4 linked regions of the Daphnia pulex genome follow. The protein of the gene in region 3 interacts with the protein of the main gene of each other region in a pairwise test. Links are inferred from orthologs where the notes say so. Each region holds a gene or a part of one and is shown on either strand. Other genes may lie near its edges.

Region 1 (5,220 bases), on a different chromosome or scaffold from region 3:
AATCAATTCAATCGAATTTATTCTTTTTTCTATTATCTAACGGAATTTTAAATTGATTTTTGATTTTTTTTCAATTTTCCAGCCGAGCGGAAAATTTTCCCAATTTCTAGCTGGAACGAATGTACGACAACATGACAACTTACATGCTCTCGGATTCGCCGGAATCCGGATCGGGATCCAATCACCAAATCGGCGGAGGCAATTCGAGTTCCAACGCTCCGTCGCTGATCGGCTCGCCGAGATCGACGCCCGTCTTCGGCAACAACGGCCACGCCCTCAAGGTCCGTTATTGACAATGGCCCGTCTCTGCTGGACGGGAAAATATTTTTCAAACCAAAAATTATAAATTTTGTTTGAACAGACAAACGGCGGTTTGATGATGAACGGATCATCGTCCGGCGCTAAGGAGATGGGCGGCCATCAGATGTGGAATAACGTCGGCCATCCGCAGCAGCAGCAGATGCAGTCGCCCGTCGCCCAGCCACCGCTGCCACCGCCGCACCATCACCGCAACAACGTCATTGTGGACGACCGCGAGGAGAACCAATCGCTGCGCTCCGATCACTCCAATTCCATGGCCGGCGGCCTGTCGTCTTCCAATCGGGCCCACTCCAGATCCTCACGCCACCAGCACCAGCACAGCAACCGGCCGCTGGCCTCGACCCAGTCCGGCAAGAGCACCAGTTCCGGCCACCACCGATCGCACAGGTCCGTTTCTTTTATAACTAAAATCTGACTCAAATAAAAACAAGACGGGCCAGGTGTTCTGGCGTGGCCCGTCTTGAGCCTTAAAAGGATTGAACGAAAAAGACGGACCAGCCGTTGTTAAATTTGTTTTGTTCCTTGCCTTTCATGGAGCTGCAACGTTTATCCTATCCTTAATGCTGTTGATATCAAAGTAAATGAACCTGCAGTCCTGCAGTCGATGGCGTCATAATTTCAAATCTAAAAATGTTTTTTGTTTGTGGTTGTTGTTTGGCTTTGACAGGAGCGCAAGGGCGGGACAACACCGGGATCACCCGATTTCATCGTCGCCCATGCAAACGTCGGCCGTCCTCGGCGACCGCAGCAACAACCAGCACCAAGAAGTCATCGAAGTCCAGATCCTACCTCAGGTAAAAAAAAACTTTTTGTTGTTTTATTATTCAAATTTTGGAATATTTTCAATGAGATTCAAATATTCCCGCGCTATTTTTGTTTGTGGAATATAAACGGCGCCGTTGATCGATTCCCCCTGCATAGAAAAGTCTTTCGTGTAAACAGAAATATTTAGATATGTATAGAATCCGTCCAACCAAAAAGCCGCGCCGGACCTTGTAAATCGGCGTCCGTCCGCACACACAAAAGAAAAAGAAAAAATGGAAATGAATTTTTTTGATTCAAATGAATTTGATGTTGCGCAATTGATTGAATGGGCTGGTGATTCACACAACAGGATGACGGATGGGGCGACAACGCCACGGCTCTGACGGGCAACACGTCCGTGGCCTCCGGATCGATGGATGACGTGTCGAGGCTGGGCGGCGGAGACGGCGGACGCGGTGGCGGAGGCGACGGAGGGCCTAACGATCCGGCCTGGTCGTCCAACGCCATGGGCCAGTTTCAAAGCCAAGGCGGCCACCTTGGCTGGAATTTTAAATGCCAGCGCTACCTGGGCTCCATCACGGCCGCCGTCTTGGCCGTCCTGGCCGTCATGACGCCCGTGGCCATGGTCCTCCTGCCGCGGATGCAGATCGTTCCACTCCGCTCTGAGCAGCTGCGCTGCCCGGCCGAGTGCGAGGGACTGCTCATCACCCTGACCGTCAAGCTGGTCCTGCTGGTCCTGGGCAGCTGGGCCGTTTTCTGGCGGCCCACCAGGGCCACCATGCCGCGCATCTTCTTCCTCAGGACCCTGGTCCTCCTCCTGGTCTTCGTCACCACTTTCGCCTATTGCCTTTTCTACGGTGTTCGGGTGGTCGAGCAACAGGATCAGCTGGACTACAAGGTAAATTACATATCCATTTCAATTTCATTTGTTATTTATTTTTGGGTTCCAGGCCGGTCCAGGGCCGGCATGTCGTGCAACAGCGGGCGGTGTAATAGTTTTCTTGGTTGGTTGGTTGGTTTATTCTGTGGGTGGTGAGTGAGTTCAAATCACAGCTTGAACTTATCTTTTTTTTTCACTCGGACGGAATAAACAAATATGGCGGATGCATTCCGTGTCTGCCCGCCGTTTTATTTCATCTCTCGACGAATTTATTACAACATTTTTGTGTTTTTTTGTTTTATTTATTTTTGGTTTTATCCAGGCGATTGTGACGTTCGCTTTGTCGCTGGTCGACGCTCTTTTGTTTGTCCACTATGCTGCCGTTTTGCTCCTGGAGATCCGCCAAATGCCGCCCAGGTATTACCTACACGTCATCCGCAGTCCCGATGGCATTTCCAGGGGCTACCCGATCGGAGCCGTAAGCAAATTTTGTTGTTTTTCTTATTTTATTTCGATCGTTTAGATTTGTTTTTTTCTTCTTGGCCATCAGATATCGATCCAGCGGGCCGCCGTCTGGTTGCTGGACAAGTACTACACGGAATTTCCGATTTACAACCCGTTCCTGGAGCGGCTGCCGCCCAGGAGGAGCCGCTCAAAGTTGGCCCACTCGTCCTCGTTCAAATTCTACGACCTGGACGCCCAGAACAATCACGGCTCCCTCAATCCGGTAAGTCCACCCGACGAAATTTCATTTCAACTTTTTTTCTTATTTTAAACTAAAAATAATTAAAACTATACTTAAAATTAATTGAATTAAACTTAAAATTAAAATTTGAATTTTTTTTGTTGGGTGGCGGGAAATGTTCCAGGGTAATGCCCGTGGCGTTTTGTCGACGACCAGCTCATCGACGACGGCTCGTCGCAACAATTCCAGCCACAACGAGAGATTTTACGAAGAGCACGAATACGAACGACGTTTGAAAAAGAGGCGCGCCCGTTTGGTCACGTCCGCCGAAGAGGCTTTCACCCACATCCGACGACTTCAAGCGGAACCAGGTACATGTCAACAATTATACACAACCAAATGTCTTTTTTCCCTCCTTATCCTTGCGGCAATATTCAACACCAATAAATATTAAAATTCTTTTATTTAAAAAATGTTTTTTTGGGGGTGGAATAAAAGGACCGGCCGTTCCGATGGATCCTTACGAAGCGGCCCAGGCGATTTTCCCGTCGATGGCCCGCCCGTTGCAAAAGTACCTGAGGATCACGCGCCAGCAGCCGCGCCACACGGTCGAGTCCATCCTCCAGCACCTGGCCATCTGCCTCAGTCACGACCTCTCCGCCCGCGCCTTTGTCGAAAAGTTCCTGGCTGCCTCGCCCGTCATGCAGGTATAACTCGTCCGCATTTCTTTTTTTATTTTATTTTATTTAAAAAAAAAAAGCGGACCCCATTTTTCATTCGGAATTCCCGACGTCCGTGAAGGGCCACTTTGGTTCATCGTAAATTTCCCCTCAATCTCTTTTCAAATTTCCCGCTTTAAAAATTTTCCAACAAAATTCCAACATTTGATTGGCAGTCAATTTATTTATGGCCAATAGCTTTTCGAATTTGGCGCGGAAAAATGTCCACAAAATATTTGATCGACTTTGAATTTCCCGCTGAAAATAAAAATTTAAAATGTTTGAATTTAATTTTTGGCGGTTTAAATAGAACGACAAGGAAAAGTGTCCGATTCAGACGTGGTCGCTGGTGTGCGACGTCCTCCTGTCGCGTGGCATCGAGGACGGGACCGTGTTCCAGCTGAGGCAGGGCGACGTCTCGCTCCTTTGCCGCATCTCCAACTTGCCGCACTTCAACATCACCGAGGAGATCATCGAACCCAAATCCAACAAGTTTGTCCTGCGGCTCAGTTCCGAAACTTCCGTCTGATGAAATATTCAAGTGATGGACGGACGGACTCGACGGAATAAATTTTTGTAAAAAAATAATTCAGTTCATTTGACCAATTAAATTTGTTTTGTTTTTTTCGTTTTCTTTTCAAAAAAATTTATTTTCCCGCGCTGGATAATAATTTTTGAAACAAGAAACTAGTCGTCTTGCGTAAAATTCGTGTCCTTTTCTTGCGTGCAACCCCCCCAATTTTTTTATTTCCGGTTTGATCGTTGATAATATTCAGAAAAAAAATACTCGCAAACATATCGAAAGATAAGAAGAATTAATGGCCTCCGGACTCGATAATAATTAATAAAATTGTTTCGTCCATTTTTGGCTAATAATTATAGACGCGCTGATTAATAATATGATTGGCTCAACAATATGTTTTTTGGGGTTTTTTTTTTCCTGTGTGTGTGTACATAATCATGTTATAGTCGAGGGCAAATAATGATAATAATAATAATAATAATAATAAAAATAAGGGAACCTCATTCTTCGCACCCGTAACAATTTCATTTCCCGACACCCACGCAAAAATTGGCCATTGTTCACGCGGGCTCTGATTTATTTTGTTTGATTTAAAAAAAGAAATTCTTTTTTTGTTTTGTTTTTGGTCTAATAACAATCGCTGATGTCGACTTTCTCCCTTTGTTATTTGGTTATTTCTCTCGCCTATTCTTTTCTCGACGATGTGTTGTATACGTGTGTAATAATTGACACCCCCATTTCTGTTGGCAACAACGAAGTTATTAGACACAAGTACACACAACACACGGTGGAATGTAGGTGCCATGCGTCATCATCCCCCTCCATTTGAAAAATAAAATACAAAAAAAAATGATTATTAAAAAAGTACATTGTGTTGTGTATACAAAACAAAACTCTTTTAATAAAATGTTCGTGTGGTGTGTTGCCATTTTTTGAAAAAAATCTACAATTTTAAAAAATTTAAAATTTTCTCTTTTTTTATAATTTTCACGCGGGAGTTTTTCACGTTGAGTAATTGGCAGACATTTATTTATTTGTTTTGGCTGAAACTCGTTCATTCATGTCCTGCGGGACCCGTGTGGCGATGATGTAAACCATTTAACAAATCATCACCGCCCATCATCAACATTTTTTTAACCTTTTGATGAGAAAAATGTTTTCCATCAAAATTTTGTTTATTTAAAAAAAAAAAGAATTAAAAAAATAAATGACCGTGATTTAAGCGCGCCACAAAGTTTTGAAAAAGAATTATTACGTCATCGCTTCTCTTTTCATTTGGGTTCGAGGACGTTCACTTCCTTCATTTCTGCACCCACTCACTTAACAA
Region 2 (5,220 bases), on a different chromosome or scaffold from region 3:
TAAGGAGAATAAAGAGGATGGCAGATCTTCTTCCGGCAATTGGTCGGCATCCGGCAGCTCTTGCAGCACCAGAGCTTCGCTGGATTCCGATCATCCGCGTCATCACCACCACCATCATCATCCGGTGGCCGTTTCGCCTCTGGCCCAACGACACCCGAGGGTCATCCAGCAGCATCCGCAGACGGCCAGATCTTTTTCGCCGGAAATGGATGTCGATTCGGCCCTTTCGGGCGACGATTGCAGCGCCACCACAACGTCCAGCATCCACCGGGCGGATGAAAACGGTCACCATCACAACGAGCTGGACCTGGAAACCAGTTCCGTCTACAGTTGCGACGCCGAGGGCTATTACACCTCCTTCCACATCGACAGCGGCCTCAAAACTCTCAAGGTCGAAATCAATTAACTTTCTTTAATTTCATTTAAAAATAAAATCAATAAACTTATCTCAAAATGGTCAAACCAACAGGAGGGCCAGAGTGATGGAAGTTTACACAAGAACCGGACGTCGGTCAATTCCAAGGAGGCGAGCGGCGGCAGTGATCGCTCATCCGGAATGAGCTCGGCTTCCGGCAGCATTTCGGGCGGATTGGCTTCCGGCCAACCATTCCCGGCAGCTACACCTGAAAATGAATACGAATTGTTCGGCAAGGGCAGCACTTTGTCCAGCGCCACCACCAGTTCGGCAGGGACGGTCATCTTCCGGCCGGAAGGAGTCGGTAACAGCAACAACAACACAGTGGGGAGTCGGAAGAAGAGGAACAGCCAACCGCCCGAGCCACCGCCACGAAATGGAAGCTCCAGCAACCGGAATTCGGTGGATTCCGGAAAATTGCGGAAGCAAATTCCGGAAGAGAAGAAATCGCTGAGCCAATTGGTGACGGAAACGGAATCCAAGGAGATCGCCGACGCTCTCAAACAGCTGAGGAGCAACGAATCTCCCGGAAGCGAAACCGCTGGATCGCCGGAATCGGAATGCATGAGGGCCAATTTAACTCAAATCGGAAGGATTCCGGCCATGTGCGTCATCACTCCTTCCATCACTCCACTGCCAAGCGACGACGATGCCATGCTCAACGATCCTTCCGGCCGGAATTCCGGAATAAGTCTCGAATCGCACATCCAATCCGCGTTCCTCCAGCAAGTCGCCGCAACGGAAGTTCGTCCCAGTCCGGTGAGCCGGACTCGAGTAAACGTGGCCGATCTTCCGGCGGCCATTCCGGCATCCACCGAGTCGACGGCCATCGTTATCAAGGCGTCCGTCGTCAAGTGTCCGGTCGATCAGGAACTTGTGGCTCTCAACCAACTGCCGGCCGCCGATTCGGACAATCTGAACGCCCAGCCGTTCTCCTCCGCCGGAAGCAGTGAAAGTTCACGATCCAGCTCGTTGGAAAGGAAGAAACGTGGCGCCAGAGTGACGCTGGATTCCGACGGAAAAGTTGTCTACAGTTCGGATTCTCTAAAGAGACGGAAAGCTCAAGCCGGACACACTTCCACGTTCGTCGAGCCGGGCACCGGCCAGCAAAATGTGGAAAGGAAATTGGATCCAGGGACGTCGGCCTTCCGTCCCAATCCGATCGGCTCGACTGGATCAGCTGCTGGCAACGCGAACAAACCGCTCAGTCCACCGCCTTACAGGCCGGCCCCAAGTTTCAACGGCCCTCGAACTTCTTCTTCTTCTTCATCCTCTTCGACGATTCCGGCCGTCAGGACTCAGCCGGACGGTCAAAGTTCAACCAATGGAAATGGATCGGGAATTCCGGCGATTCTAGTGTCCCGGTCCGACAGCTACCGACTGGCCAACGTCGACGACCAAGTGGACAGCGGAGGCGATCCGGCCGGTGCCTTCCAGCGGAATCGATCCGACAGTTACCGCAAAGCCAATCAGACGCTCTCGGTGGCGCCGCCGCAAGCGGCTGGCAGTCACAACGGAAGACTCGCTCCACTTAGTCACACGTTAAGCGGATTCGCAGTCAACGGAGGAGGGACAACTCACCGATCCGTGACGGCCACCGCCGGAACGGGCCAGTTCATTTCGGGCCACTTGACGGACAGACCCAACAGCAACGGATGGTCGTCCAGACCTTCCCAGCCAGCGATGAATTACTCCATCAAAAGTCCGATGCTGGTCAAACAAATTTCCAATCCGGGTTTCAACGCTGCTGGGCAAGCTTCCGGCCCGGCTGCAGCAGCAGCCAATGGACGTCCTAGTAAGCAATTCAACCACCGGCAAATCTCTAGTCCGGCCATGATGATGATGACGTCCAGTCCGCTCCTGGTGAAACCCAACAACGGCGGAGGAGGAATTCACAATCCAAATGCGGCCGGAAGGCGGATTTACGGCGGTCCTCGGCTGTTGGTCAATCCGAAAATCCTGACGTCTCCGACTCACCAAAACAACAACAACAACAAAAGCGGAAGCGTCAGCAGTCTCAACTCGAGCGGCGGAAGCGGATTGGACATTTCCATGACCAGCCAACAACCAACTCATCACAAGAAATCCGCATTTGCCAGCGGATTCGGAAGTGTTCCACCCAGTCCCGTCGTCCGTCCACCCACCAACGCCCAGGATCGGCCCAGCTTCTTCAACAACACTCCAGGTAACCGCAGAAACAACAACACTGACATTTGGTGATCTGAAATTTTTTTAAAAATACTCATTTGGCGCTAAAAAGAAAATGATTTGAAATTAAATATCACCTTTTTTTTAGCTTGCTTGATTTAATTTCCCACAGTATTACCTCACCTTTTTCTTTAATCCCTTTTGATTGCGTGAATGTTTTTTTAATTTTCTTCTTCCTACGAATGCCATAAAAAAGAAAAAGTTAAAAATTTGTTTTTCTCGTATGTTTTTGTTTTTTAATTACCTTTTTTTTATCACCACCCCCGCATGACTGGAAAAATCTCACGTCGCATGAAACAAACGAAATTGTTTTTGTCGCTTTTTTTACTATTATTATTTAAGTATTTGCTTGAAATTTCTCTCACACTATTTTTCACGGCCTGGCTTTCTCCTTTTTATTTTATTTGCACTTTTTGTATTTTGTTTTGTGTGTGTGTGTGCGTGCTTCGTTTGTTTTCTTTAGAGTTGGATTTCTCTGGGCTTTTAATTCCATTAGAAAATGATTAATTCTTTTGGTCTGCTTTTTCTAATTTTCTGAATGAATGAAAACAATCGATAATTCATTAATTTTATGATTAATCAATTCATCGATGAGATCTATTATATTCTAAATTAATTTTTTTTTAATGGATGAAAAACAAAAAAAGTCCATGAAAAAACCAACTCGAACCAGGCCGGAATCTTCTTCCCATGTTTAATTTTTTTTTGAACGAAATTTTATTATTATTTTTTTTAAATCGAATTTTTTCAATTGGCTAATAAACGGCCTTACATTTTTAAAACAAAGAAATCGATTCTCATTGGTCAGGATATCCGGCCTGGTTTCCTCGTATCTTTTTTCGTTTGATTTTTAAAAGAAAGAAAAATGTGTTCAATGATTTTAAACCAAACTTACCACTAGATGGAACAGGAACTACTAGTTCGAGATTGAACGGAGTTTCATCCAGCAGCTCATCACCACTTCCGGGCTATCAATCTTTATCGCCTCCGCCGAGAATGTCGGCCTTGCCACTAGCCCAGTTGTCGTCCACATCGACCGAATTTCAACGCAAAGATTTCCGATACAATTCGCTTCCGGCTCGATTCAAAACGGTGGCCGATTATTACGCATCCATGACCGGCGGCGGCGGTTCTCCGTCTTCCGTAGAACCAAACTACAACCAGTGGCTGCCCAGTGCGGGAGATGACAAAAGAAACAGCAGCACGCTTCCGTTACCGTCGAAATTAGCGGCGGCCAACGCAGCCAGAACCGGAAGAGATAGTCCGGAAGAAGGTGGATTCCTGGAATTTTCACCCAAAAGATCAAACTCTTTCAACTCTGCTACTCCCAGTGGCGCCGGACGTGTCCAGCAACAAGGCAAATCGTCGCCAACACCTTCGTATTCCTCCTGTTCCCTGGATGGCTCCTTTTCCACGTCAAGTTTGAACGAATCCGTCGACACTCGCCCCGGCACTTGGCCGCTTCATCCAGGTGATGCGGGGGCGTCACCTTCACCACAGCAGCCCAAAATCCATTCAATCGGACTGGTCAAACGGACGACCATTTCCGATTTCAAACGCAAATTGCTCCAGCAACTCCATCATCCGGCGTCCAATAAAAAGATCTCGGCCGTTGAGCAGCTCAAAGCGACTCAACCTCCGCCGGCCGGAATCGGCAAGGGGCCCGCGTCGCCAGACGTCAGTCCAGTGACCAAACATCCAGCACTGGAGAATTTGATTCGTCGCAGTGCTCGAGTCAGTTACATCGCCAGTCGGCTCAGTCAGCAGCAGCAGCAACGCAACAATCGATTCCATCCGCACTACAGTCCACGAACGGACGTCCTGTCTTCCACCATCGCAGAGGGGAGGAGCGAGGAAGAACTGGCAGCTGCTGACGACGATGCAGTCACCATTTCTTCAGTGTCCAGCAATGGAGCTAGTGTCCGTAGACATTTGTCTTTTCAAAACGGTTCACGACGTGGGTCGTCCACTCCATCTAGTGGCAGTTCGACACCCATTGAAACATCTCTCTAGTTTTCTTAGTGAGAGAAGAGAAAAAGTTGAGAAAATGCATTACATCTATATCTGTAACGAATCCTGCAAGTATACCAGTCATCACCTTTTCTTTAAAAAGCTATAATTACCTTCAATTGTCACGAGTTGTTTGTGCCTTTAGAACTGCATTTGACTTCTATTATTATATTTTCTGTCGATTGTGTGTTGGGATTTATCGAAAACCCTACAGTGCCTGTAAAAAGAAATTATTGATACATTTAGCAACATAATAAACTGTGAGAAACATTTTTTAAAAATTAAGACTTTGACGTTTTAGCCAAGTACCGATGAAGTTAGACATAAATGCATAACACTTTCTAAAATTAACATCACAAGAGTTTGGGAGGGATCTAATAGTCTACCGATTTACTGATTCGAATGGCTGATAAAACTAAAGTGGCTAAGCCAAGAGATCAGCAGCGTGGGCTAGAGGCTCAAGCTCAACCGCTCAAGGTCTTCTTCACTGAATTGAATTATATCGAAAAACGAAATTAAGATCAACTGATATAATTTTATAAAAAGGGGTTCAGGTAATTCTTATCTATAACAAATCATCTTGCATG
Region 3 (5,220 bases):
GGGCGAGGGTGGAGAAGGCGAGTGGCGTTGCGTCACGCACTTACCGGCTTTGAAGAGAGACAATCACGTTTTATCGTCGGCCAATGAAATGTTATTCGAGTTAAATGCACTACGCTGGTTGAAGCTCATTTGAAGGAAACACGTTTTTACGAGGCTGGATCGCTGGATAAGGGTACGAATCTCTTTGGGTTGGCCACCATCACTATATACTCTACGTTTCGTTAGTGCGTAGCCCAAGGGCGCCAACTCTCTGTACACTGGATACCGTTGGGCGGATGGGCGGACGAGAGTGTATTGTTGTTGTTGTTGTGGTTTTACCCCCCCAAACCGTGAGGTTGTTGCCATGCCAAGTAAATAAAAAAAAAACCCCTGGCAAACAAGCTTCTGGGTTTAATGGTTCAACAAACAGCGTGATAATACACTCATTTGTGACAATCACGCGGCTCTTGTGTTTGAGCTGCGTGGCGGAGGAGGAGGCCATCGATCGAGCGCCGGGGCGAGCGGCTACTTACTTACATCTCCAAATGGCATCTCTTAGACCATCTTATCTCTTCTTTTTTTACTATTCTTTCTCCACCCTTTTTTTTTTTTAGAAATGCGGATTTCTATTTTTTTTTCGCATCCGCCGAGGAACTGGGCGGTCCCGGAAACAGTTGGCTGTTCCCTGGCGCGCGCTTCTTTTGTACCAGATATATATACAGTGACTATGTTTCACGGAGAGAAGCTGTCACTCCCGATGGGGGCTGCTGCTCCGCCCGAGTTGTACGTTTTTACCACAGGGAAAGAAGAAGAAGAAGAAAAAAGTAGGCAAACTTTTTTTTCTTTTGTTGTTGTTGTTGTTGCAACAACAGTCGCCCAAAAGTCTAGAAGATGTTCTTCTTTTCTAAAGGCAACGTTGCGCGATTTAACTTGATGGCATTGAGAAAAAAAAAATCAATAGAGCACCGAGTACTATAAATACGTACGTAGCTGCTAGTGTACACGCTAGTAGTGACTTTTTTCCTATTTCTTCGACTTTTTAGACGCATTGATCAAATATTCGACAAGTCCGACGTTGGGGTGGGCGGGCCGATGAATAAAAGATGGACCCGAAGAAGATGGTTCGTACCGTTTGATTTATTTACAAAAAGCTGGGCGATTGGGATTAGCTGTAGAGTTCGTGCTGGATAGGCTAATTGGCCCCACCTGGATTGCCCAAGAAAGGATTTGTGAGTCTGTATCCGATCGATCTTTGAACACACACACTTTTACCTACGGTTGTGTTGGTTAGATTGGACGGAAATGAGTCACTTGTGTATTTGAAAAATAGAAAAAAACCGGAGCCAAAATGTTTGATGCGACGCCATCTGATGCCTTTTGCGTTTCCCAATGTGTATATACATCCACATTTACGTAAGCAGACGCCGAGAGAACTGGGAGAAAAGTCTCTACCCACAACACGCAAGCCAAAAAAAAACCCCGAAAATATAAATACATTGTGGAATGGGATGTGTATACGGTCGAGCGTGTCGTGTCACGATCCTCCGTGAACTTTTTTTTTTCCCCTTTTTTTTTATTTCTTCTTATTTTTCTTGGCCGTTCTAGTGGGCGGAAAAAGAAGAAGAAAAAAAGTCGCTCACGGAGAGCTGTGAGCTGGCCGCCATGACGACGGCCGCGGGAAACTTGACAATCAGCCGCCGACCCCTGTGTGCGAGTGAGTAGAGAGAGAAACCCGCGAGAGAGACTCGCCTGAGTAAAATTAGTCTCGCTTCAGTCGCAAACAATCACGGTCACGCTGGCGGCCAGCTCCGGCCAACGGACACACGTACCGGGCGCAAAAAAAAAAGTCGTGCGGGATTTTTTTTGTTTTCTTCTTTCTGTCAAGCGACGTTTAAAAATAAAATATTTTTCGCCCGCCCCGACAGTCTTGTGTGTGTGTTGCCCAGCAAACAGTCGGCCCCTGGTCTACGTGTAGACGGACACAAGTCGTTATCATCGTCGTGGCTGCTGTCGTGATGTTGTTGTTGACTCGGTGCGTTGATTAAAAAAAGGAAATTCGAAAGACATACCCACCCATCCAACACGCAAGATGATCGATTGGGTTTCCATCGTCCGACAATCGAATCGACGCTTTTCCAACTGCATGTATTTCGTGCCGCGATCACGACGCCATCGACAAAAGCGCGAACGAGTCCTAGCACATCCGGCAGCAGCAGCAGCAGCAGCAGCTCCTGTCTCGTTGGAGGCAGAAGACCCGGCCGATCGATGCGAGCACAAATGCAGCACCAGCTGTTTCAAAGTAAGAAGAAGACGTTCTCTCTTCTTTTGGCAGAAAGAAGATGGGCGATTGATTCTATATGTGTGTATAGAGAAAACGATTTATTGACCGATTTCCGAGAGAGAGAAATCTACTTAAGATTGCATAGATAAAGAACATGGTGAGGTACCAGCGTGAGCAGGTCTATTTCACAATTTCTTTTGAGAATTTTTTCTCAAACACAAAAGATCACACTGCCAATATATTTATAGTCGAGAGCAGACTCTTCTAGACTGCTCAGACTGCCAGTGTGTTGACTGTACTGTGTGTGCATGTCTCTCTCTGTGAGAGTGATCGATGTGACGGCCCGCCGGCCCGAATCGTGTTTATTGTATGTGTGTGTGTGTTTTGACTCTCCATACATCACATTGGGGGGGAGGGCGGGGAAATGACGCCATTTCTTATAATACGGTCGTTTAGGATTGTGTGTGATCGCATATCTTTTAATAGTGTGTGTGCGTACTCGAGTGTCAAAACTATAAGCTTTTTTGGTAAACGATCTATTTTGATTATTTTTGGGCGGGAAAGATACAAACACAAATTGATGGATCGTTTTGAGCAACTTTGGGTTTGGTAACTTACCTTTTCTGACGTATCGATTGGAAACTAATCAAATTTTATGTTTTTATTTTTCACGACAGAGCCCACGACATCACGGGACTAGGGGACGACAGGACAACGATCCTATGGTGTCGGTTGACATGGTGGACGGTCACGTCAACGAGTCGGTCATTTCGGCGACAGAGAGGATCGTGATCCAGCAACAGTCCAATAACCTCAAGGTAGTATCTATTCCATTTCTGACACCTTTCAATTTGCGTCTCGTATTGACCTTTTCCTTCTCACGAACGACGTCGTGTGTATTTTTATCAGCCGATCCTATTTCCCCCGCTCTGCTACTATTACCCACTATATTTATATAACCCACCCACCCACACGGATAGGATAGGAAGACAAAATGGCCGCCGGCTGTGTAGAGACTAGATTCTAACCCGGATGGGAAACTTTGGATATATCCTTGAGGAATCCCAGATCTCGTCTTGGGTGTCGTTACGCCTGAATCCACCACCGTCGTTTCGGCTCATTGAACACCTCCGGGAATGTGTAACGGGAGCGCACACACGCAAAAAGAATAAGAGGCAAATGACTTTTCGATTTCCCTCGGCTCTTCTTATCTCTTCGGGATAATATCTCCCACCCCCTCACCGTATATAGTATACTGTTTATCCATAAATGAAGACCCCCCCCCCCCCATCTTTATTAAGATCTTCTTATATAATGATGCGAGACACACATTCTGCAGTTTTATCCGCACGGCAGATCCGGATTTATTGATACTCATTTTTCATTGCCAGCAGAAAGTCATTAGGGGGGTTGTCCCGGTGGAATATATATACGCCAAGTCTATATTTCGTTGGACCGTTTAATAATACTTGGAATGCAGTTAAGCGCATAATATCAACAGGTCATCAAGGGGAAGGGGGGATTCGATCGACAGAATATCCTTCCGTCGACGCTGGAATCCAATTATTTCTCAAGTGTTTAGAGTGTCTGAACGTGTCAAAATGGAGGGGGATGAAAAGCACAAGATGTGGGTGTCGGGAGGAAATAAGGAGTTATTCGAACGAATTGGTTAACCGAGCGGAAACATCGCCGCCATTGTCCACGCATCGTTGAATTCACGTACAGTCAATATAACCCCTTGAAAAAAGCCTGGACGGAATTTTTCTGGTGGAGGATTTTATGTGGTCTTAGAAATCTCACACTGTCGTTGTTGGCTTTGCCAAGAGATGTCAGGAGCTTACTGGAATGTACCTGGAAGGCGAAGAATAAGCCAAGAGAAAAGGGAAACCTGTTTTCTTCTTTTTCAAAATCCAACGATCCTCCAGTTACTTTCTATTCATGTGAGACCCTTAATGCCCCGAGGGGGAAAACCTGGACATTTTTTTCCTCCTCCTCCTCCGCAGCATATTGGAAGTTTTTAGGCTTTTTCTTTAGACATTTCTTCCCCCCATTCTTGTTAGTGGCCATCAGTCCGAGTGAGAAGGCAGTGGCGATTGGATCATTTTTTCTTATTTGTTGGGGGTTCACAACTTGTTATAATAATAATATTTGATTATTTTGGTTTCTATGGAAAATGGTTCGAGTGTGCCAATGACAGTAGCAGTAGTTGGAAGGCTGTCAAAGTAGTATAGCGAGAGAGAAAATTCAGTTGTGTATACCGAACGCGTCGAGTTTGGCTTTTTCAGATCCGGCTAGTGACGTTGTGTGTGTTTCTTTTTTTTCATTTTTTGTTTCCCAATTTGTTGGGATCTTTTTTTTATTTATTTGTGACGAGCTTTTTGGGTTGTTGTACTGTGTGCTCCTGCCGGATGGTTTATATTTGCCACTGCTGCTGCTGGTCGGCGTGTGAGCTGTGTGTGTCTGGAGCTTATTTTACTGTGCACCGGTGCAAGTGATCAGTTGCAGGCGAGTTTTCGCAGCCGACGCTCGCGCCATTTTTTCCCCCCGTTTCTCCATCGAAACTCTTGATGCTTCCAAACGCCGGTTTTTGAATTCAATATAACACCTCGATATAAATTACCAGCCATCTAGGATGAAAACACGACGGAAGGTAAAATCTTCAATCAATCTACGAAATCAATCCCCCCGAATTAAGTCTTGCGTTTTTATTAAGAACCTTGGCTGTTTTCTATTTTGTTTTTAATTGTGTCTGCGCGCATCATCAAGACGAATTTAGCGATAGATTTGGCAATGCTGTGTTGACGTCACCTACCAATAGCAGACGAGTTCCATGTTCCACACCCATTCTTTTATATTTTCTAGTCTCCCCCCCGCCAAAAAAGAAAAAGAAAAAAAGAAAAACTCGCCCACGGTGTGTGTCTGTTGTGTAGTTTTTCGGTATCTATTGAAAAAGGAAAAAA
Region 4 (5,680 bases), on a different chromosome or scaffold from region 3:
AATGGTAAGAACACCAGACAATCACTTTGCATTAAATGATGACATGCAGTCTTTCAAGCATTCCACCACATATATGTAAATATTAAATGTTGCTTGTACTTTATCAAATTAAGAAAAAAATTATTTTCACAATTAAATTGAGTAAAACCTATAATTGGAATTAGTTAACCGACATATCGTAAATTCAGAATGAATCTGTGATGTTCATGCATGCCTTATTTGATAGATAGAATTATGATGTAGCCTAAAACTTGATAGCAGTTTGGTGGGAATATTCAAAAATTTGAGCTGCATTCTGATTCAACACATTAAACCCCCTAACGGTGATTTTTTTTTCTATTTCTACAATATAAATGGAGCAGAGTCTGCTTAGGAGGCAACAGACAACTATCTAGGTTGCATCATGGGTTGCATATATTCCGAAAACCAAACGTCCTTTGACATTGACAAACCTATCCAACTCTCGGTGCAGCCAAGTCGTGCATATCACTGTTTTTTTTTTCTATTTTACAGCTTGATAGTTGATACGATACAAGAGAGGAAGCAAAAAGAAGTGAATGCCAAAAATATGCACAGGTCACAGATTCTCACCATTGGCATCGTCATTGCCCTGTAGTCTGCAGGAATTCTCCTTCCGGGGGCTACTCTAAATTGTAATAACTGTCTGCTGATTTCCTCATACAAATTCGATTACCTAATTTACTACTAAGAATTCATTAAAAAGTTTATTTATTGTATTCAATTTTGAATTTGCTCAGTTTTTATGTAGAACTACTCACTACCCCTGGATGATTAGCCAGGGAGTCAGGGACTGCTGTCAGAACCACTGTACCGTTATTTTATTGTTTTATTTTTTTCACTTCCTTAGACTTTGAGTATACATCGTGCAATGCCCTTATATCAGTTAAGGATAACTTGTAGAAATATAATTTCCTTTGTTAATACGATTCTTCCCAGTTCCTACCTACGCATCTAACAATCGAAAATTTCTGTTTGGATGGCGCAGAAGATGCCTCTAGAACTAGGAGAAAAAGCTACAGTTTCTTATGAAGATGGCGTTTATGAATAGCTCGCTAGGGGGTGAGGGTGGGGGCGGGGTGGGGTCGGGATCGTCCACCAGAGAAAAAAAAAACAATTGCGGGATTTTTATTAAAAGTCAGATTTTTTCGATAAGTTGGAGAAAAAATTTCGTTATCGTTGTTGCAAAAGTTGCTATAGAATATAGATTTATCGATATCGATGTTTATTTCCTCCAATCGAAAAAATACCACCAAATGACTTACAAAAAAATAGAAATAAAACATACTTCTTTGTTTTTTTCTTATCTAGTATCTAGCTCTATATAGACTCCGCCATACCTTAGAGCCATTCCAACTCGTGCAGCTGATTAAAGAGATTTGAAAATCGTTGAACAAGAAGAAACGAAAAGGGTTTCGTTAGTCGGTTGTTGGCAGCTGTAGACGGGAGAAGTGTTTTCATTTCCTACCCGGTGCGTTAGCAATAGACTTGTGGACTTTCTATTGTTAGATTTTTTTTTTCAAATTGCTTCATGACATACCGATTTTTCACGAATCAAATTTGTTACCTTAATTTCGTCACCATTGATTTGTTTAAATCTTTTTCTTCGATTCAATGGTCTACAATGGTGTGGTGTTTCATTGTGCGGTTAGTTTTCAATGCCGAATAGGCGTGAGTGTTATGGACTTCGATCAACCTTTCGCCTTATTAAAAGGCGCAAAGACGTGTTGAAATATTAAACAGATCAATCTACAGGTCATTCTCATCATCATGTGGCAAAGTGGCGGTATGGGCGGAAGCGCCCAAGGTGCCAAAGTTCCAACGTCGGAAAATCCAATAACAAAGATGTTAGCAGGCCTAATATGTCGACGGGCGAGTGAAAGGTAAAAGGTTTCACTTAATCATTTTAAATTTGCGTTCCTGTTTAAATGATCAAATGAAGATGTTAACCTACTCATAGCTTAGTTAGGAAACTATAAAATTTTTTAACACTATAGCTGTATAATACAAAGTGATATGTGTGATAAGTCAATTAAATTATGTCTGCAATCAGAAATTTACCATATATTTCTCCTCTCCTTCTGACAACAACACGACAAACACAAGGAAAATGAAAAATCAATAACGTCCATAGTGTTTCATAAATGATACTTATGGTTTAATAAGTAACCCGTAGATAACAGTTCAACTGCATTCTTGAAAAAAGTGCAAAACAATGCCTAATGAAAACAAAACAAAGTTGTGACCTGAAGAGTGCAAATAAACTATTGAATCATTGAGTTCCTTAATCTGTTCCAGGGACAAAAAGTATTGCTTTAATCATAGGTTATATCTAGATTCAGTCATTCGTTTCTGGGTGACTTTTTGGTAGACTTCCCGCCTGTCCCATGTGTGTGCGTTTAAACGCGTGGTTATGTCCTCGGTTCTTCTCGCCTCCACCTTCCAGTGCAACTGCTAATTTTAGGACTGTCTCTGAAATACTCGTATCCTTTTTTTGGCTTGCGAACAGATTCAGAGGTACGGTACGAAAACTACAAGGTCCCGAAAAAAGATCGAGCACGCACGCAGACAAGAAATAAAAAAAGAGAGAACCAGATAGCAAGGTTTCAACAGGAAAAACAATCACGCTCATTTTTCCTTTTCTATTCGTACATACAGCCTTTACTCTTGTCACTTTTAAATGAGTTAGATTAGCTAGGCATAGAGAGAATTTCGTGTATTAAGAACCCAAGAATTCAGTGTATAAACCTCACCATAGTTAAAATCTTTCCATCATTTGGATACCGTTGTTTCCATTAATAGACGCTATGCTTAAAGGGAAACATTGATTGCGTTTCTCTACTCTACACTGTATAGCCTATTTATATCACCATATTAACAAAGGTCGGGCAAGTGCAGTATGCGTCTCATAAATAAAATCGAAGGAATTTTATATTTGCTTCGGCAATATAGACGAAACAAATCTGATATGACTGACAACCGCATCATTTAATATTATGTAAAACACAACCGTAGCTGGATTATTTTGCTAGAATTCCTAACATGGGGCACTCTTTCTGTTACTATGTTTTGCAAGGCTGCCAGCTTTAAGTCTATGTTCAGTCAGATGTTGGTTGTCCTGACTACAATCTATACATCCGACTTTTTCCAATTTTGTAACTTGAACCGTGCAGCGAAAGAATTTTTATGCAAAAATACAACTCTGCGTTTTCATTCAAGATTTTTTTCAGCTTCAAAATTAGCCCACTGTTGAGGCTTGGCTGTTGACTACGGTTGACTACCTGAAAACTTATTTCTACTCTGATATACAGCCTTATCTACAGTAGCGTTATTCCCTTAAAGAATCACATCGATCAAAAACTGTCTTCAGCTTCTTCATGGAATTCAAACGAATAAAAAAGGAAGAAAAACAAAATAATTATAAATCGGGTTATCGACTTGTTATTTGGGTGTACGAATAAAAAATAAAAAATAAATGTATTTTAAATAATTTTTTTTATTTTTTATTTTTGGACTAAAATATAGGGGTTTAAAATGTTTTTTAGTTGTCCGCGGTAGGGTTTAAGAAGTAATCCTTATTTTTTCATTAATGTTGCTGGTCAGCACTCGATTGCCAACAAGATTGATAATAAACAAATCAATTGGGACAACACTTAGTTTTTCTTTTACAAATTCCAAAAATTCTTGGAAAATTTTGTGGAAAATCTTGAAAAAACCCAAAAAGCTAAATTTTTGAATTGAATTTTCGTTTTTTCTTAAATATTTTTCCCATTTTTATTTTTAAATTTTCCGCATTTTTTTTTTTTTTTTTTAACTAAAAATATGGGGGGTGTACGAATATTTTTCGAGTTGACAACTTCCCGTTATAAATATTTTATATCGAACCTATATTGACAAAAAAAAGGGACATCGGAAAACAAGATGCTAGAACAATTATATAGTGTGTGCTGGCTTTTTGTTTTTTAATTCAATATTACAGTATAAAGTAGAAAAATGGAAAAAAAATCAAATCGGATGAAATAAACAGCAAAAAATGAGACAGAAATAAGAAAGAGGAAGAAATATAAATGGATTAATTAATTTTTAGAAAAATCGCTATTCTTTGTTCTGGTAGGTGTTTAATATGCAACGCATTTGTGAGAAAGGGAAGAATTCAGAATTACCGAAAGGAAACTACTAAAGAAAAATGAAAGCATTAAAATTTTAACAGATGATAATACAAATATTTTCAGAATATTTGTAGTTGATAATAAGGTGCTAAGTGGTTTAGAATGATCACATTCAGTGATTAATATTGTCCCTCTTACAAGATTCCCACACCATTCCACGTCAATTGGCGAGGAAAGGTTTGCTTCACAAGATGGTCACGTAAAGCCATTAATGCTTTCGCTTTTTTCTGAAATGTAACGTTTAGATAAACGCGACACGCTACACGCTGGATACTTCCAAACGACATTTTTTTTTTAAATTTAAGTTTTTAGCCGAAACGTTAACTAGATAATTAAGTAACAGGACGACGTTATTAATTTAAAACTTACATATTTGGATTGAAAAAATGAAATTATATCAGGTATTTAAATGACATTTTAATTATTTTTTTATTTTTATTTTCATACATACGGACACTTACAAAGGACACTTAGACCGAACTAGTTTGTATTTAATAACAGAGTTATTAACGGGTACACGCTTACCAAGAGGGGGATCGAGCAGTTCTACACGTCACTTTGGTACACACCAAATACACAGTCTGACAAGGAAACTGCGGGTTTATATATTCCAAGTCGGCCTAGCCTTCCGAGAAGAATTCCCGAAAGCTAGGCCGGGCCGCATATAAGGATTGCTGGGGACGACAGGTTGGCAGCAATATTGGGACGACTTTAGTGATGGGGACGAGATGCTATAGTAGCACGGAGCTCGGTTTGTATAGCGCCCCGTTACATTTAGGGAAATAAGGGAGACGAGAGCTGATCTATAGAAGGGGAAAGTGTAGGGTTCTAGTGCTATAAGATGGAACGGAGAGAATGGCTATCAGAGAGAAAGATAGGGACTCCCGCAGACATAAGGGCTACTGGTACATGCGTTTCAGTACAGCCCGAATACGCGCATTACAGTACATAGATTATGGTATGGAATGGTTCAACACAATTATCGGGGTATTTTTTTAAAGTGCCATGTAGGGGAGGGTGGGGGTTATTTGGACCAATTTTGGTTTTTCTCGTGTAGGGCCTTTTCTAATCATCTGATTTGTAAAATACAGGTTTTATTGTACTTGTCTCACTTTTTTCTATCTCCAGTATTTTTTATTTTATTTTAGAGTTGTTAGTTTACCCGCTACCGATTTTAAAAGTTGCGAAAAAAAAGTGGGCGTGGAAATTCGGGGTTTTTATGGAACAGGGTGAAACACTCTAAATTTAGCACTAAAATATTGTTATAAATTAATTTAAAAATATCATTCTATTATAATATTTGCCACCTAGTATTTGTTTTTCGCTATGTTTTTAGGTTATTGCTAAATTTAAAAAATAAATTGTTTAAAATTTATTATTTTCTCAGGGTTGCCACTGAGCTAAGCTCCGCTCATTACAGACTCCCTTTTAGTCCCAATTTACCCCACAGTTTCGTCCCAAATATCCTCCAAAAAACGCTTTTGGGAAAGCTT

What was found.
Region 1: the proteins of disks large 1 tumor suppressor protein-like (region 3) and vang-like protein 2 interact in a two-hybrid assay, tested with the Drosophila melanogaster proteins (3 studies listed by BioGRID). The link is inferred for Daphnia pulex from reciprocal best matches to the Drosophila melanogaster genes dlg1 and Vang.
Region 2: the proteins of disks large 1 tumor suppressor protein-like (region 3) and uncharacterized protein LOC124196913 interact in a two-hybrid assay, tested with the Drosophila melanogaster proteins (4 studies listed by BioGRID). The link is inferred for Daphnia pulex from reciprocal best matches to the Drosophila melanogaster genes dlg1 and gukh.
Region 4: the proteins of disks large 1 tumor suppressor protein-like (region 3) and potassium voltage-gated channel protein Shaker-like interact in binary tests that used the Drosophila melanogaster proteins (3 or more experiments, as listed by UniProt). The link is inferred for Daphnia pulex from reciprocal best matches to the Drosophila melanogaster genes dlg1 and Sh.

What each region holds. Positions count from the first base shown.
Region 1 is NC_060018.1:12,093,495-12,098,714, forward strand, and holds the end of vang-like protein 2, read left to right. Parts: intron 1-82; 5' UTR 83-119; coding exon 120-281; intron 282-361; coding exon 362-708; intron 709-988; coding exon 989-1,115; intron 1,116-1,435; coding exon 1,436-1,984; intron 1,985-2,288; coding exon 2,289-2,444; intron 2,445-2,516; coding exon 2,517-2,693; intron 2,694-2,835; coding exon 2,836-3,022; intron 3,023-3,149; coding exon 3,150-3,358; intron 3,359-3,680; coding exon 3,681-3,899; 3' UTR 3,900-4,750; downstream 4,751-5,220.
Region 2 is NC_060023.1:633,022-638,241, reverse strand, and holds the end of uncharacterized protein LOC124196913, read left to right. Parts: coding exon 1-391; intron 392-469; coding exon 470-2,600; intron 2,601-2,872; exon of another isoform or gene 2,873-3,157; intron 3,158-3,518; exon of another isoform or gene 3,519-3,524; coding exon 3,525-4,636; 3' UTR 4,637-4,908; downstream 4,909-5,220.
Region 3 is NC_060025.1:304,033-309,252, forward strand, and holds part of disks large 1 tumor suppressor protein-like, read left to right. Parts: intron 1-966; exon of another isoform or gene 967-2,068; coding exon of another isoform or gene 2,069-2,278; intron 2,279-2,937; coding exon 2,938-3,078; intron 3,079-4,188; exon of another isoform or gene 4,189-4,892; coding exon of another isoform or gene 4,893-4,910; intron 4,911-5,078; exon of another isoform or gene 5,079-5,220. UniProt on the Drosophila melanogaster protein: During embryonic development, some isoforms are essential for proper neuronal differentiation and organization. Required for cell polarity; maintenance of apicobasal polarity.
Region 4 is NC_060026.1:6,145,395-6,151,074, forward strand, and holds the start of potassium voltage-gated channel protein Shaker-like, read left to right. Parts: upstream 1-1,160; 5' UTR 1,161-1,788; coding exon 1,789-1,901; intron 1,902-5,680.